3 linked regions of the Arabidopsis thaliana genome follow. The main gene of each other region encodes a partner of the protein of the gene in region 2 in a complex. Each region holds a gene or a part of one and is shown on either strand. Other genes may lie near its edges. The genes, in order: CPSRP54, CAO and ALB3. A codon is read from its position in the direction of its gene.

Region 1 (5,838 bases), on a different chromosome or scaffold from region 2:
AAAATTTCCTTGTCGGATCTCACCTTTGTCATTTACGTAACTACCCGAGAAAAGCTATCATCTTCTACCATAAGTTGTGAGGAGATACCACTTAAGAAATGTGGCGCGGAGCTAGAGTGTGGCTCCAATGATCGATTCCATATACAAGTCGAAAACTTGAGCCATATGGGAATCTCCAAGTCTAGAATGGCTGGTGTAAAGATCGAGTGCGAGGTCATTTATAAGGAAGACTCGGAAGACGAGGCGGTAGTTAGAATCGTTAATGCTGAAAGGCCATTAGGCACAAACTTTGGATGGCTGAACAACGATCTTCTTGCTCCACTAGCTCATCGTGGTCTAACAGCCGAAATCCAGCTGAGTTTCAACAGCGAGTTATTGGACAAGATCGACCTCCAGATATTCCACCGAGGCGAGGGGAGATATTTTTCCCAAGACGATACTCTTGGTTATCTTCAATGTTTTTTCCCATCTAAAATCTAAGTATTTTAGTTATGCAAAGCCTATGAAATATTTAAAAGTACAATTTGTATGCATTTTGTTTGGTCGATTATATGATATTTAAATAAGAATATATTTCTACCTAGATAATCATGAGTTTTGTCAACAAATTGGTAATTAACTTGTAAGGTTTCTGTCTCATTCATTAACTTATACAAAAAAATAATCCGTTTAGAAATTAACCAAATTGGGCTGAAATAGTTTTAGTTACCAGAGCCGAAGCCACGAGGACCAGGCTTGCTTGATGCTGACTCTACAAATTTCTTCCTTGAGTCTGCCTTTCTCTTCCTCCTTGCAGTTCCAGGTGGAGCCTTAAGATACATTTACAAGACCCCATTAAACTCTGGTACATGTTAAAGATGAAGAAGAAGAAGAAGAAGAAATGGAAGAAACCTTTTGTTCTGCTTTCAATGCGTCCTCGAGACCGCTTAATGCTGGAATTGATCCTCCTTCCATCACTCCCATCAAGTTCTTCATTTTCACTCTCATTTGGAAGATTTGTGCTACAAGTGCGCTCACCTGAACCAACAACAACAAAATGGTATTGAGAATCTCCTTCTTCTTGTCTGAGATCTGCACAAAACTAAGCTCACAATCTGAGCGAGAGTACCTGTTGTTCTGTCTTTCCTGAATCTTTAGCGATTCTTTTTCTTCTCTCTGGAGATTCTGCTAGTAACTCTGGTCTCTCTCTTTCCTCTGTTCCAACAGATTTAAACCAAGAATTAGACAACCAAAATCTAGTTTATGAAATGCTTGTTTATTTAATGGAATGGAAGAAAGGAACAGAGACAAACCGGGTGTCATCACTTCAATCATTGCTTCCATGACTAAAAGATTCTTTTCCGCTTCTCGGATTTGTGCTGGACTCACTTTCCCCATTCCGGGAATCATTCCAAGAACTCGTGTCATCGAACCCATTTTCGCTACAGCACGAGTCTGCTTTAGAAAATCGTTGAAGTCGAACTTTGCACTCATTATCTTCTTCTGCAGATCTTCTGCATCTTCTTGACGCATCTATAAAGACAGATGAAGAAGGCCTCAATGGATAGAGAGAGAGGGAGAGGAAAACATAGTTTTGATTGTAATTTTACTGAGAAAGAACTTACAACTTCTGTTGCCTTCTCTACAAATGAAAGCACATCTCCCATTCCTAGAATTCGTCCAGCCATTCGATCTGGATAAAAGGGTTCAAGATCCTCCATTCGCTCTCCACGTCCTACCAGTTTAATCGGTTTTCCTGATACCTAGTAACACCCATTTAAGTGTAAACTATCAATGTTGAGCAACATTAAGTAAATTTCTATAAAATAATTGATTAAAGAAGAAGAAAACAAACCTCCTTGACACTCAAAGCAGCACCACCTCTTGAATCACCATCTAGCTTTGTCAAAATGGCTCCTGTAATTCCTATCTCTACATTGAATGTCGTCACCAGTGCTGTAGGAAGTACAGAAGCTCATCTTAGTATATGACCGATACAGCTACGGTTTTGAATCTAATCCATTTTCAGGATGTCTCGAATCTTCTTGACAAAGGTAAAATAGAAACAGCGTACCTGCAGCTTCTTGTCCAGTCATGGCATCAACAACTAGTAACACTTCTGTTGGATTCAGAAATTTCTTCACGTCTTTTAATTCGTCCATCATGCCTTTATCTATCTGTCACAAAGAGGCAATTTCATGACTGAAGCTGCAATAGATTTATGATACAATGACTCTTAAAGACGAAACATTACCTGAAGCCTCCCTGCAGTATCCATAATAACTACATCAACATTGTTCTTTTTAGCTTCTTTTAGACCTTGCTTAGCTATATCTGCAGGTTTTACATCAGTCCCTGCTGTATAAACCGGCACACCAACCTGACACAAAGAGGGCATCAGGGAATATTGATTTCCGGAATCAAATATCATCACATATTCACACAGAGGTTAAGCCATTTCAATACCTGTTCACCTAAAATGACAAGTTGATCGATAGCAGCAGGTCGGTATACATCTCCAGCAATAAGCATGCAAGATTTTCCCTGTAAACATCATTATTAGTCAGTGTCATTGACAGAAAGTAGTAACAAACAATCCCATCAAAATCTCCACTGTATTCATACCTGCTTCTTTAGGTAACAAGCTAGTTTAGCACAAACCGTTGTCTTTCCAACTCCTTGGAGCCCAGCCAACAATATTACTGTAGGACCTGATTTAGCAAACTGTAACTCAGATACTTCTCCACCCATCAATTTCACTAGCTCATCATGTACAATCTGCAATAAAGCCATGATAAGCCACACTTGAGTACTATTGATACCAAAATGATCATCATAGAGTGAATCAAATATCAAACCATTATGCTAATGAAACAAAAACAAGAACCGGTTTTATTGCTAATTACCTTGACCAATTGCTGATCTGGTTTGACTCCACGAATGACACCCATTCCAACGGCTTGGTCACTAACAGACTGAACAAACCTTCTAACAACTGGGAGACTCACCTGTTAACAAAATTACTTTTATACCACATTCTTCACAAGAACCTAAATGAAACAGAATAAAACACCACTCACATCTGCTTCCAGGAGAGCTCTTCTGATATCCCGCATTGGCTCAGCAATATTGTCCTTAGTCAAGACCTCTGCAAGTTCAAATAACGTAACTAGCTTAAACCCGTGCTCATCTTTTCTGCATCTTCTAATAGCAAACACTACTCTTAACTACAAAGTTTTCTTCATTGAATACATCAATAAAACTTAGTCTCTATTCATTCCTCCTAATTTGAGCTCACGGGCAACGAAATAAGAAAGAAAAAAACCGAACCTTCGCCTTTGAGTTTGCTCCAAGCAGCCTCGAGGCCACCAGTCAACTGACCAAACATCTCGGCTCTCACTTGGCTTCTTCTGTATCTTCCATGGCCAACAACAGTCTTCGATTTCACCCAACTCCATATCTCTCGCTACTCAACACAGAACATCACAAACAAGACTAAATAACCAGAAAATCTTACAAAACCACCAAACTAAAAAACGAAAAGAAGCAAACTTTGAAGCCAAACCGTGGAGAGATTCCTAGAGGAGGACAGAGAAGCTGAATTGATGGTGCCACCGGTGAACGCAGAGCTGAAGGCAGCCTTAATTCTCCTATTTCCGGTACAGCTCAGAGTACAAGGAACTCTATTCACGCTGGAAAATTGAAGAGCCTCCATTACTAGTGAGTGAGTGATCAAAGCTCAAAACTTTTCACGACTCTCCGCAATCTTCTTGGTACTTCTATCTTCCTTTTGGATGGTTCCATTTTATCCGTTTCGATGACGTGGCCCAGTAACAGACCGTCGATGGTGAGCTTTCCACAAAACGCTGCATTTTAAAACTAGAACCATCTCTCTCTTTCTCCTTACAGGCGCGGCTCAGATCCCGACAAGTGTACGGCTAAGATCACGAATCTCTTCTTGAAAGTAATCCTCCGCGATTACCCAATCGGTTATCGGTTCGGTTCCACTCGATTTCGGTTCTTTCGATTATAAAGTTTATTTGAATATTTTAAAATTTAGTTCAGTTTGGTTCCACTTCTTTCAGTTTTAAAATTTAGTATCCATTGTTTTAGATATTTTCTGGTGTTTCGGTTATTTTTAGATATTTTTAAGTATTTTTACTATTATATATATTTTTCAAAAATTAAAAAACTTTTAATAGTGGTAAAAAATTGCAAATTTTAATTTATTTTTTTTAAAATGTAAAAAAATTATATGTATAAACATATTGAATTTAGAACACCGCTTAAGGACCTCATATTATGGACAAGATATTGTGTCCAATTAGTTTACACATAATTAAAATTTAACATTTAAAACAAAAATATTTTGTATAAAAACAAAAACAAAAACAAAAACAAAAACCTTAAATTTTAAATAGTGATATGAAAAATACAACTTAATATATTTTAAAATATAAAAAATGTTAAAATTTAAAGATGTGTATAACATATTGAACCTAGAACACCGCTTAAGGACCTTATATTATGGACGGGATGTTGTATTCATTTAGTTTACACATATTTAAAATTTAACACTTAAAAACAAAAAACATACTATGTATATATAAAAATTATTTTATCTAAAATATTAATTAGAAATAAAAAAAATATTAAAGTTTAAATAGTGGTAGAAAAAATACAAATTTAAAATTTTTTTAAAATAAAAAATTGTTAAACATTTATATATATGTAAACATATTAAACCTAGAACACCGCTTAAGGATCTCATATTATGGACGGGATGTTGTGTCCAATTAGTTTACACATACTAAAATTTAACATTTAAAACAAAAATATTATGTATATTTTAAAAATAAAACACTTGATCTAAAATATTACTTCAAAAATAAAAAAAAAACTTAAAGTTTAAACAAAAACTTGAATAAAAATTGCAAAAGATTTTTTAAAAATTAATGAGAAAAAACCCTTTTTTTCGACATCACTGAGGAAAAACCCTTTAATTAAAAATATATTAATTTCTAAATTAAACAAGAAAATGAGTTGCGAAATAACCTGACAATGGGGCTCATTGTTTGATGGGCTGAAATTGTTTGTGTTGGGCCTCCGAGAACACATCGACCATCTGAGAGCACATGCGATCATCAGTAACCGTTACCGGAAAAACGAATCCCCCAATCTCCGACGATCCCTCCACCTGCTCAATCTCCATCGCGGAGAAAACCTCCAACATCATGAATCCAAAAGCCTTAAATCCCGGCGACATGTAAGCCTTTAACTCCTTCGAATCGTCTCGCTCTCTCTTTCTACGGTGAGATGTGGTCCCAAATTGACGGCGAAGTGAATATCCTCCGTCGTTTATACGAGACGTGATGCTTGCGTGTGTGATGATCTCTCTCTCTCGTCTTCTTCGTAGCTATAACAAGTGAACAGAGATCCGTTGTATATGTATGAGTCTTTCTTGGGCTTTGACTTGTGGAATGATTCTTTCTAAACGAAGGGCGAAGAAAGAATCAGAGCATCATCATCTTGAAGCAGACAGATATCGAAGAAGAGAATTGATAATAAAGCTAATCAGAGAAATTGCATCTTTTAACTCGTGGAGATAGAAGACGCGAGACGCAGGTATTTATAAACTTATTTGTTTGAGACTCAAGTTTCCTTTTTCCTTTTCACTTAGGGTTTGTTTAAAGCCCAGAGCAAAACACCAACCTTAGGTTCGGTGATAATCTAGCCGTTATACACGGTTAGGTGATAATCTAACAGCTATACATGGTTCGGGTAACAAACTTTCCTTTTTTAAGTTGATACGCTCCTACTAATTTCTTTATATACGCTTCTCATTTATCTAAGGGTAAT
Region 2 (4,336 bases):
TCTTCTGTGGTCTGATAGTATAATATAAAACCCAGTGAAAACTAATATATTTGGCATCAATTTATATTAATCGACTGGAGGACTTGGCTAATGTGGTCGCGGTTAATCGACCTAGTTCCTTGTTTTCTCTAATCTATAATCTACATAATTGTTGTTTGGTTGGTTGTCCAACAGTAATTTGGTTGTTATACTAAATATATTTGGTTGATTTACGTACGCATGTTGTTTACAAAAAGAAACTTTTCTCATCCGTTCATGTCACTATAACTAGAAGTAACACACATGACTAGAGGCCCCTCTCGAATTAAGAGGAAAATTACAAACGAAAAATAGGCGATCGTTGTATTCACAAAGAAACGAAAATGTGTACTAAATCAACTCCGTCCTTTTTGTCTCCTTATGTCCATCATCAACGTAACATCACATGCACTGAAAATCTAGATGCTCATAATAATAAAAGTCTAGCCATTAACTGACAAACCAAAATTTCTCTCATATAGACACAATGCATCGAATATCGTCAAAAAAAAAAAAAAAAAAAAATGATGTTGAATTAGAGAAGAATGGATACTACTTATTCATATTTTCTAGTCATTTATTCAGACTTTGTATCTTTCTATAATTTCCTTAATCGCAAAGTGCAGTTGTACATTATCACTCTTCAGAAGTTGTTTTTATCACCAACAAATGTTACAAGAAACGGACCCATAAATAAAAGTTGTGTATTGGGTTTACATGTACTCTCTTCCTATATGAAATATATAGGCCCAATTAAATGTAAATGGGTTTTGAGATAAAGAAAAGCCTAAGACGATGTATTCTCTAAACCTGGGACGATAAAGAGCAAGTCAGCCAGCATCATGAATCTCCCCAAAAAGGGAAGCAAAATTCAAAGCATGGATATAAAATCAAATAGTGTCCCCAAAAGGCCAAAAACCATCAAGATCACATCTTAAAAGAAAATGAAAATGTACCGGTACGTACCAACCGAACCGGTCAGATGAACCAACACATATGAGAAAGAAGCAAATTGAGAAGAATGTAATCATCAAAATCAATCATTCATTCATTGGTTGTTGTTGTTGGTAGAGTAGAACAAGAGTAGAGTCGACATTGTCCTGAGGCTCCCAAGTGGCATCAGACATATCAGTCCATTTGACAAGATACTCGATGGTCTTCCCATCGTCTCCCACCCTCTTCCCGATCACACTCTCCGCTACAGCGTACTCCAGCCCATCCTCGTAGTCCTTAGCCACATCTTCCGCCACGTGTACACCTTTCACCCACTCGCAATCTCCACCGTCCTTCCATCTGACCAGATATTCAACGTCTTTGCCTTTCCCTCGTTTCTCTACGATCTCATCCACCTCGGCGTACTCGAACACTTGTCCTTCCAGGACATTGATCACTTTCTCTAACCCAATTCTCCTCCCGAACTGCATCGGATTCCCCTTCGGCGTCGTCTTCAGAATCTCCCTCGCTAGTTCCAACGCCGTTAACCCTCTCTCGTCTTCCACTTCAATATCAGCTCCCAGCTCCACCAGCGCCTCCACCACCTCCGGCCTCACGTAACCAGCCGCCATGTGCAGCGCCGTCAAGCCTCCCCTCATGTCTCGGTGGTCGAGATCGGCTCCAGCCTCCGCCAGAAGCCTTACGCACTTGTCCGACCCCAGACCTGCCACGAAAAGCAGAGCCGTCCGGCCGTTTTCGTCCACGGCATCGACGTCTCGGTCCTCCAGGAGCTGTGACAGGGCCTGCTCGTCGGCTTTTCTAGCTGCCGTCCACCAGGGTGTCTCGTACTCCGACACTACGTCTGCTGCGATGTAGCTCGATGGAACCCACGACGGAGAATGGCCGTCCTTCCACTCGATAAGGTACTCCATGGCTCCTTCCCCCGCCGTTCGGCTTCCAATGATCTTGTTCACTTCTCCGTACGATGATGATGACTCATCATCTTCCTCTGCCTCTTCCACGGAGGAGGTCGTTTCTTCGTAGTTTCTTTGTACGGCGGCACATATAGCTCCTCGGAAACACAGCTCGATCCGTCTGATCGGTAAGGATTCAGGGGAGAAAGCAGAAGAAGAAGAAGAAGAAGATTTGGGAGGAGAAAGTTTGATGCGAGACAGAGACTGATGGATTACTAGAGCACAAGTATCCATGGCCAAGAAGACCTTTTGCATAATAGAAGACAAGACTAGAGAAGAGAAGAGAGTTAACGGGACTCACTGGATTTTCTAGTGGATAAGAAATCTTAGCCACCCAATCATTTTCGAAAATTTTAGATGTCTGCAGCAAATTTTAGTTTTTTAAAAAAGAATCTAGTTTTAACATTTTTATAGGATTTTATTTTATGGACTGCACTTATTTTCTTCTACTTTTAGAAAATCAACAGGTTCTTCTATTTTTTGGAAAAAATCTTTATATACTAGATAATTGTGTTAAGACATTCTCATCAAAAAGAAAAGAAAAATATAAAACAATAAAATAAATATGAGTAAAATTGTAAATGTGGTTGGTTTTCTCATTCATATGATATTTTCTTGTGGATTTAAATTGGTATGTATACATTATGATATATGAGTTTGTCAATATATTATTTGTGTTTGATTTTACGACTTGTGTATATATACTTACTCCATCTTTAAACATCTTTAAATGGCAAGCAGACCATTTTTTTTTTTTTTTTTTTTTGAATTTGCACTTCAGTGATTTACATGATATGAGTATTAACATTATTATACAGCAAGTGAATAGTTTTTATTTAGTTTTCACCATCTATATTTTATTTGCCTAATTAAATTAATCATCCCAATACCATCAAATGGCAGCCAAACTTTATAGATAAGGACTCATCCGAATATTACTGACGTGAGCCAGACTCATCGACTATTTCTAGGCAAATCTCGAGAACTCAATAATAAAAAATAAATTAGTGCTCAATAGCTTAAGAGATAATTTTGATAATAAAATGAAAAAAAAAGTTTTGATACTAGTATTTTAATTTACGTGCAAATCAAGCTTCTGTCGTTTTATATGCACATGAAGATGAAGAAGAAACAAAGGAGACGAACATTGAAGATAAAAGTAAAGTGACAAAATTTTCTTGTAGTTGGAATAATCTTCCAAACCTAAATACATTGTTTCATTTGTATTCATACATCAAATGTATATATATTTTCTTATTTTATTTTCTTTTTTGACGGCTGAATGATTTGTTTTTCTGTCCGAAGACGAATCTACGGAAACGACGACGTTTCCAGTGGCTGACATGGTAGGATAAAAAATTCGGTTCAATATTTTTTAGCAGGTGAGCGCTTCGTATTTAACCGGGATTGGATGGTTGAAACCAGCCCTGGTTAGTAGATTCCCAACCGCAGCGAGATCTCTACAGAATACTCCTTGGTACGCATTGGAATTTACCGGTTTCGTTTCAGCGTTTCCGGTTCTCTTAATAGAACCGGATTTTTCAACCGGTTTGCGTTCTTCAATCTTTTGAGCGTGAGCAATGGCGTTCTTCCTCTGCTCCTCGGCTATGATCGCTGTCACGGCGGTGTATCCTTTCTGAATCAAACGGTAAAGCAACAGAGACGACATTTTGGCTCGATCTCTAACCGAATCGACGTCGTTTTGATCGGTGAACTCGCACCGTTCGATGAAAGAAGAGGCTCTATCGGGTTTGTATCTGAGACATAGCAATAGATGAGCTCGATCGAGCTCCGATCTGGTGCATCCGCGTCTGACTCCGATCAAGCCGTAATAATCGACATTCCCAGTTTCTCCGTTTGCGATTTTCTGCTTAAGTTTCTGCGTTTTCGTTGTCAAAACGCACAATTTCCCAGGAATCTCTCTGTATTTCACGTTGTGCCGCTTCCACACCGGACCCGGAAGCTTCCGATCGCGTAAAATGGTGTTGTAGAGAAGCTTCAAGTGTTCTAGATCGTGAAGCGAATCTGGAAAACACCTGACCGTTTCTAGAAGCGCGGCTCTGGTTTCTAACGCCTGGATACACGAGGGTTCAAGAGCTAGGGTTTTATTGCAATCGGCGATCGCTTCCGCGATTCTACCGGCGGATCTATAAGCGGCGGCTCGATGCATGTAGCATTCGGCGAGGAATCCTTGAGGCGCAGGGCGACGGCCATCGACGATCTTGGAGAAGTGACGGATCGACTCGGAGAACAGTCCAGCGTCGAGAGCGGCGATTGCAGCGGCGCGACGACGGAGAAGAAGCTTGATGTGAGCGAGGAGATGGGTGAAGTTCTCGCTCTCGGGTGGTGGAGAAGAAGCAGAGGAGGATTCGGAGAGGAGAAGGAAGCTATCGTCGGACCAGCAAATACTC
Region 3 (5,515 bases), 7.1 Mb from region 2:
ATATATTAATTTTTAGCTGTTTCCAACAGTTTTGCTTTTCTAGGATAGTAAGCATTCACATATGTAATGTTTACAAGTTACAATGAGTAAACCATAATGCAAACATTTTAGATGGACCGATTGATTTATGTGTTCTAAACTTCTAAACCTATTGAAATGTACACTCTATTACATGCTATGTGACTCATGATTGTAACAACATGACAACTTTCTCTGAATATTAGTGTAATGTGGCTACACTGACAAGTTATATTCGTTCAGATTAGTAACAGGGTTCTTTGACAAACACATCAAAACGACAAACACCAAACGACAACACGACAAAACAAGATGTCTTTTGTCTACTTGTACAACTTCGAGAATTTGAAAATCGTGTAACCATATCTTGGGCCTCAGCCCAATCCAAATCGTAATATTTTTACCTCTCTCTATTTTATCCATGCCAATCCAAAGAACAATGCTTCTTTGTCAGGAAGTAATTGTTGTTTATTCATGGGGAATCGTTGTCTCGTTTATTGCACAAATTACTATACTACTTGATTCACATTTACCATTTTTATAAGCTGACAAAGCTAATAAAAGCACCAAACAAATAGATTGCAAGTTTACAACAACGAAATGCTAACAAAACTGAAGCGGGCATGTTGAAAAGTCATAATAGTACACACATTTACGTTAATACATTTATAATAAGATGAATCACATAAACAATTTACTTTGATCAACTACTGCTTTTAACTTTAGAATGACCTTTTTGTGCCCTAATATTAGATAATTACCGGACATGGTGTATGCAAATATATATCAAAAGATCAAACTAAGGAACAAGATTCAAATCTCTCTCTTTTCTCTTCCTTACTTGCAATTTCGTTTGCTTTGGTTCTATACAGTGCGTTTCCGCTTCGATCTTTTGCTTCTTCGTTGGCCAACCTCAGGAAGCGGCTTGCTTGTTGTGCTCGAAGCTAACGCTCCTTCACGAGCCTCTTCTTCCTCATCATCAGACCCTTCTTCTGATTCAGACTGAGATTCTTCTACCAATTCAACTGTATCTTTCGCAACCGCCTTGTTCTTCTTGCTGCGCTTCTCTTGCTCTTTTAATTGTCTAAATCTGTTGTGATCCAATATACATTTATCAGAAATAACAAACTTGTAAGAAAAACGCTTCGTATTGAGAGATATAATCTCCACTAGACTCGGGATTCACTTACCTTTCGCCAGCATCGTCAGGCTGAGCAATAGATCTCTTTGCTCGTCCCGCACTTATTATTTTGCTTGCGTTTTCATCCATATTTGGCTTTGCACCACCTAGTTTACGCAGATATACTTGTTGGGCGGTACTAAGTACATTATTTGTGAGCCTAAAACCATAGGATGGTTTAACATAAGCAGTAGCATAATAAAAAGGGAAAAAATAAAACTCAGATCCTACCAATAAACACAGTCATATACAATAATATTGATGTTACAAAATGTAGTCACACTAGATGATTCCTTATCAAACAAGCTTCGTATTCCTCGAAATTCTAACCCGTCTTACGTACATTTTGAGAATGAAGCCATCTAGGTTAATTACTAGAGAAAATCTTTCTTATACTCCATTTAATGAGTAGATCAAGGGCATGGATAAAACAGTTAGATGAGAAGTTTCAAGGAGAGGGAAACCAACCAGTAAATAGATAGTCCTGATGGGACAGACAATGCAAAGTAACCGATCATGAGTGGAAGAAACTTGAAAACAAGAAGCGTATTCTTCTGTGCAGGATCATCAGTCTGACAAAAGAAATTAAATTCGGTTTCAGAACAATCATATCAAATTGTTTAAGTAACAGGAAAAATAAAAGAAACTTGTGTTTATTTCTCACTTGAGGAGGCTTCATAATTTCCATTGACACATACTGGGAGGCAATAAGTAGAACAGGTAGAACAAGATAAGCTACAGTGTCATACCATCCCAATGGTGGATGCCCGTCCTGCACCACCGAACGATATTAGACACCAATTTGATAAAGGTTCATTGCACAGCAAAAGACTCAGTTGTATGAAATTTTTTAGTATAAAGATAAGTATCAAATGAGAAAACGTATTCACATAAAGTTTTTTTCTTCCATTACCACAAACGGAAAAAGCCACGAAATGCCGGATCCACTCTGCCGAGCAGCTATAGATGTTGGTCCACCCAGAGATGGAATCCAAAAGAAACCTTCTGTAAACAATCCCTACAAAAAAAAAGTTTTTAGAACAATTAGTAGTTGAAAGAGACAAACTTATCCGGTCTCTAGCGAAATCAGTAGTTGAAAGAGACATAAGGTATATGTACCTCGTTGGCCACGTTAGAGAGAGCTTGGTATAAACCAATCCAAACTGGTATGGTTGCTAAAGTTGGTAAGCAACCTAACATAAAAAAAACAATAATGTGCATATGTCACCACAATTCAGGAAGGGAATACAAAACTCGTAACTTCTAAAAGAAAGTACCTGCCAACGGATTAACACCAGCTTGTTTATACAATCGCGATGTCTCTAGTTGTATCCTCTCCTATATATCCAAAAACAGAACAAACAAATCAGACTCGTCATCCACAAGTAACTCATTCTCTATCCAAAGAAACTCACCTGATTTCCTGCGTAACGTTGTTGAATCGCTTTGATTTTCGGTTGAAGATTTTGCATCGCTAGTGTTGATTCAACCTAAAGGATTCCAAAACAAAAGCAATGCTCAAAAATTCTCAACCAACATGCCAAAATTGAATCAAAGTGACAAGAGGAGCTGCAAAATTCAACTAATCACACTCACTAACCTGTTGCTTAGTCAAAGGATACGTCGCTGCTTTGACGATAATCGTAAGCAAGATAATCGCAAATCCATAAGCATAAGGTACATGAACCGCTGATAATCCATCCTTCAAAATCTAAAAATCCAAACCAAAAAACTTAAGCTACAAATACAATTTCCAGAATTCTACACACAGAGATCGAAATTAGCAGCTTAAAACTCACCTTAAGAACCAATTCCATAGCATCGGAGATAAAACCAAACCAACCACCACTCTTCTGCACGGCGGATGAATCAGTAGTTACGACGGAATCAGCACCAACAACGGCGGCGTCAGCTATTGTATAGAGAAGAGATTCAGCTCTGGTGAAAATCGCTCCGATGTCTACAGATGAATCCAAGCCATGGAAAGGAGGAATCTCGTTTAAGCTGAATCGTACGGTGGTTGAAGTAGTGAAGAGTTTGTTATTATTACTCCGGTATGGAAGAAATTGAGCGGTTCCTCCTCCTCCTACTCCACTGTGACGGAGAGATGACGACGGTTTAATCAACGGTGAACCGAAGAATGAAGATGGAGACGAGACTAGAACTCTCGCCATTGGAGCTTGAGAGGAGGATGAGAAGAGACGAAGAAGAAGATAGAGATTTTTATTTTTTTATTTTGTAAATTTTTTTCTGGATTTATCTTTTTTTGAAAATAAATTGGAAAATGAAAATGAGAGACGAAGCTGGTGATCGCGCGTGGTGGAGATTACATCCAGTCATAGGAGTCCACGTGGACATGTATCTAACGTGGGATATATCGGTGCTTTTTGTAGTTTGGGCTTATTAGGGCCCATTTTAGAAACAGGCCTGCTTAACTTAATAGGCTTAATTACCAATCCATCAATCTCCAAGCTCAATGCATGGATCACTTCCCCAACACAAAATAAAACTGAAAGCATACAAAATAGAAACCGATTTAGAAAATACTTTATGTAAATACTTTTCTATAAAAATCAAATCTCGAATGCTTTGTGAATGTATGGTAAGCTTTTCCACAAAATATATATAATTGTGAAGAAAAAGCTGCGTACTCTCTTTCAATTAGTTGACATCGAATCTGATTCTCACACCACCACCTTTCTTACTTTTATTTCTTGTCATTATCACTTTCTTTCCACGTTTTATATTATGTAGTTTTTATAAACAAAAAAACAAATGAACTAATCTGAAACATTTATCGAGAACCTATACACAACCCTAAAAAGGTAAGCTTGAGTCATAGGACTTAACTTCCCAAAGCCATAATCCGGTTCCCAAATCTTCATAACTTACGAAATAGTAAGTGATTACAAGGCCTTTAAAGATTAATCCCACAAAGAAAATGTATTTAACACTAGAGCTTGATCGATGTCTATAATGAGTTCAGCCTAAATAATGGTCGTAAATAATGCTCTCTAACGTAAGATAGTTATAAATTACGCTTTGAGTCCCAAGTCTAGTGGAAAAAACAAATGGGATAGAATTTTCATGCTTTTAGGGAATTAAATGTGACCGCAAATGGGACTAAGTAAAATCTTTTGGATAATGATCTCTAGTGTTGTATAGATTTTAGGATCCTAATCTCTCAGTTAATAAGCAAAAAGAACAAGGTTTAAATGTTCATAGAGGGATTCGTTCCTTAATCTCTAGCTCAGATCGATAGCTTCAAAACCTATAATCAATAATCTCTCAATAATTTTTTACCAAAAAAAACAAACCTATAATCACCGGCTCGCTCTAAGTGCACACCCATACGTTTATGTGATGTAATATTCAACAAAACATAGCTAACGTTATGAGTTTTTTTAAGCATCATACTGAATTAAATATCTTCCACATTGTTTTCAAGAATCATCCACCGTTCCTCAATTATATTTCACACGTCACGATCATATATAGACCTATACCAAATACTATATATAGAAATTAAATTTAAAGTTGTTTTGAAAATAATTATATTTGTTATTATTATTTTTCGTTGTGAAATAATTATTTATTTCATAATTTGTTTTTTAACATAAATTTTTGATAGAAATGATGATGTTGTAAGTTTGACAAAAAAAATAAAAAAAATGATGATGTTGTATTTTTTTCTTAATTTTATATGACAACGAACGATTAAGAGTTCGTATTTATTGTTTTATAACATAACGACGTCGACACAGAACTTTCAAGGCTAAACTCACTTTTTGATGGAGACGTAAGAATAATTTATGGGTAATAACTCATTAATTTGTTACTAAATAGAAATTATTTCTCTAAAATGCTTTTCAATTCATATACAAAGGATACATAGGAAAATTATAAAAAGTAATATTTGTATGTACGGACCATCAGAATAATAACGTAATATTTTTTAATCAGGTTGCATATTACCTCGGGCTTCCATTGATTAATGGGTGCATAAGTAATTAAGTAAATTCATATGCAAAGTTAAGAGTGGTACAAATTATAACCGCATATGCGTTCTTTAAAAAAGTAATTATGAAAATTTGTTCGGCAGATGAAGCAAATGATTAGTACACCTATGCCAAATCTTAAAAAATTAGAATGGAAAGCGATATATGAAATTGAACGTAGTCATATTGAATTCGTAATCGAGACTTTCACTATTGTTTTTAAGAATGTTTGGACGAGAAAGAAGCTCATAAAGCAATAAATTAGTTAACGTTCATAATTGAAGCATTGACACCAGGAGAGAAAAAAAGAGCAATTCAT

What was found.
Region 1: the proteins of CAO (region 2) and CPSRP54 are in contact, whole or in part, in an NMR structure (PDB 2HUG), measured with the Arabidopsis thaliana proteins. Residues at the interface, in NP_566101.1 of Arabidopsis thaliana: Glu268 (codon at 1,379), Tyr269 (codon at 1,376), Ala270 (codon at 1,373), Glu271 (codon at 1,370), Val272 (codon at 1,367), Lys283 (codon at 1,334), Val289 (codon at 1,316), Trp291 (codon at 1,310), Glu298 (codon at 1,289), Trp299 (codon at 1,286), Val300 (codon at 1,283), Lys301 (codon at 1,280), His304 (codon at 1,271), Val305 (codon at 1,268), Ala306 (codon at 1,265), Val309 (codon at 1,256); in NP_196014.1 of Arabidopsis thaliana: Pro532 (codon at 803), Gly533 (codon at 800), Thr534 (codon at 797), Ala535 (codon at 794), Arg536 (codon at 791), Arg537 (codon at 788), Arg539 (codon at 782), Lys540 (codon at 779), Ala541 (codon at 776), Asp542 (codon at 773), Ser543 (codon at 770).
Region 3: the proteins of CAO (region 2) and ALB3 are in contact, whole or in part, in a crystal structure (PDB 5E4W), measured with the Arabidopsis thaliana proteins. Residues at the interface, in NP_566101.1 of Arabidopsis thaliana: Asp273 (codon at 1,364), Glu274 (codon at 1,361), Asp312 (codon at 1,247), Tyr313 (codon at 1,244), Gly316 (codon at 1,235), Leu317 (codon at 1,232), Glu318 (codon at 1,229), Tyr319 (codon at 1,226), Ala320 (codon at 1,223), Val321 (codon at 1,220), Ala322 (codon at 1,217), Trp343 (codon at 1,154), Asp345 (codon at 1,148), Met346 (codon at 1,145), Thr350 (codon at 1,133), Glu352 (codon at 1,127), Asn356 (codon at 1,115), Asp358 (codon at 1,109); in NP_180446.1 of Arabidopsis thaliana: Lys454 (codon at 912), Arg455 (codon at 909), Ser456 (codon at 906), Lys457 (codon at 903), Arg458 (codon at 900), Lys459 (codon at 897), Arg460 (codon at 894), Thr461 (codon at 891).

The regions. Positions count from the first base shown.
Region 1 is NC_003076.8:1,059,564-1,065,401, forward strand, and holds CPSRP54 (chloroplast signal recognition particle 54 kDa subunit), read right to left. Parts: upstream 3,863-5,838; 5' UTR 3,695-3,862; coding exon 3,545-3,694; intron 3,446-3,544; coding exon 3,310-3,445; intron 3,128-3,309; coding exon 3,060-3,127; intron 2,988-3,059; coding exon 2,886-2,987; intron 2,758-2,885; coding exon 2,605-2,757; intron 2,524-2,604; coding exon 2,446-2,523; intron 2,360-2,445; coding exon 2,234-2,359; intron 2,157-2,233; coding exon 2,054-2,156; intron 1,936-2,053; coding exon 1,835-1,935; intron 1,743-1,834; coding exon 1,605-1,742; intron 1,513-1,604; coding exon 1,293-1,512; intron 1,195-1,292; coding exon 1,109-1,194; intron 1,018-1,108; coding exon 892-1,017; intron 810-891; coding exon 702-809; 3' UTR 543-701; downstream 1-542. Other genes in the region: AT5G03930 (F-box protein), read left to right, coding at 1-480; AT5G03944 (uncharacterized protein), read right to left, coding at 5,048-5,245.
Region 2 is NC_003071.7:19,470,625-19,474,960, reverse strand, and holds CAO (chloroplast signal recognition particle component (CAO)), read right to left. Parts: upstream 2,389-4,336; 5' UTR 2,181-2,388; coding exon 1,059-2,180; 3' UTR 574-1,058; downstream 1-573. Other genes in the region: AT2G47440 (Tetratricopeptide repeat (TPR)-like superfamily protein), read right to left, coding at 3,301-4,336.
Region 3 is NC_003071.7:12,355,787-12,361,301, forward strand, and holds ALB3 (63 kDa inner membrane family protein), read right to left. Parts: upstream 3,783-5,515; 5' UTR 3,373-3,782; coding exon 2,998-3,372; intron 2,910-2,997; coding exon 2,799-2,909; intron 2,689-2,798; coding exon 2,614-2,688; intron 2,537-2,613; coding exon 2,476-2,536; intron 2,392-2,475; coding exon 2,318-2,391; intron 2,217-2,317; coding exon 2,112-2,216; intron 1,971-2,111; coding exon 1,863-1,970; intron 1,771-1,862; coding exon 1,667-1,770; coding exon of another isoform or gene 1,633-1,666; exon of another isoform or gene 1,359-1,632; coding exon 1,209-1,358; intron 1,109-1,208; coding exon 883-1,108; 3' UTR 535-882; downstream 1-534. UniProt on the Arabidopsis thaliana protein: Required for the insertion of some light harvesting chlorophyll-binding proteins (LHCP) into the chloroplast thylakoid membrane.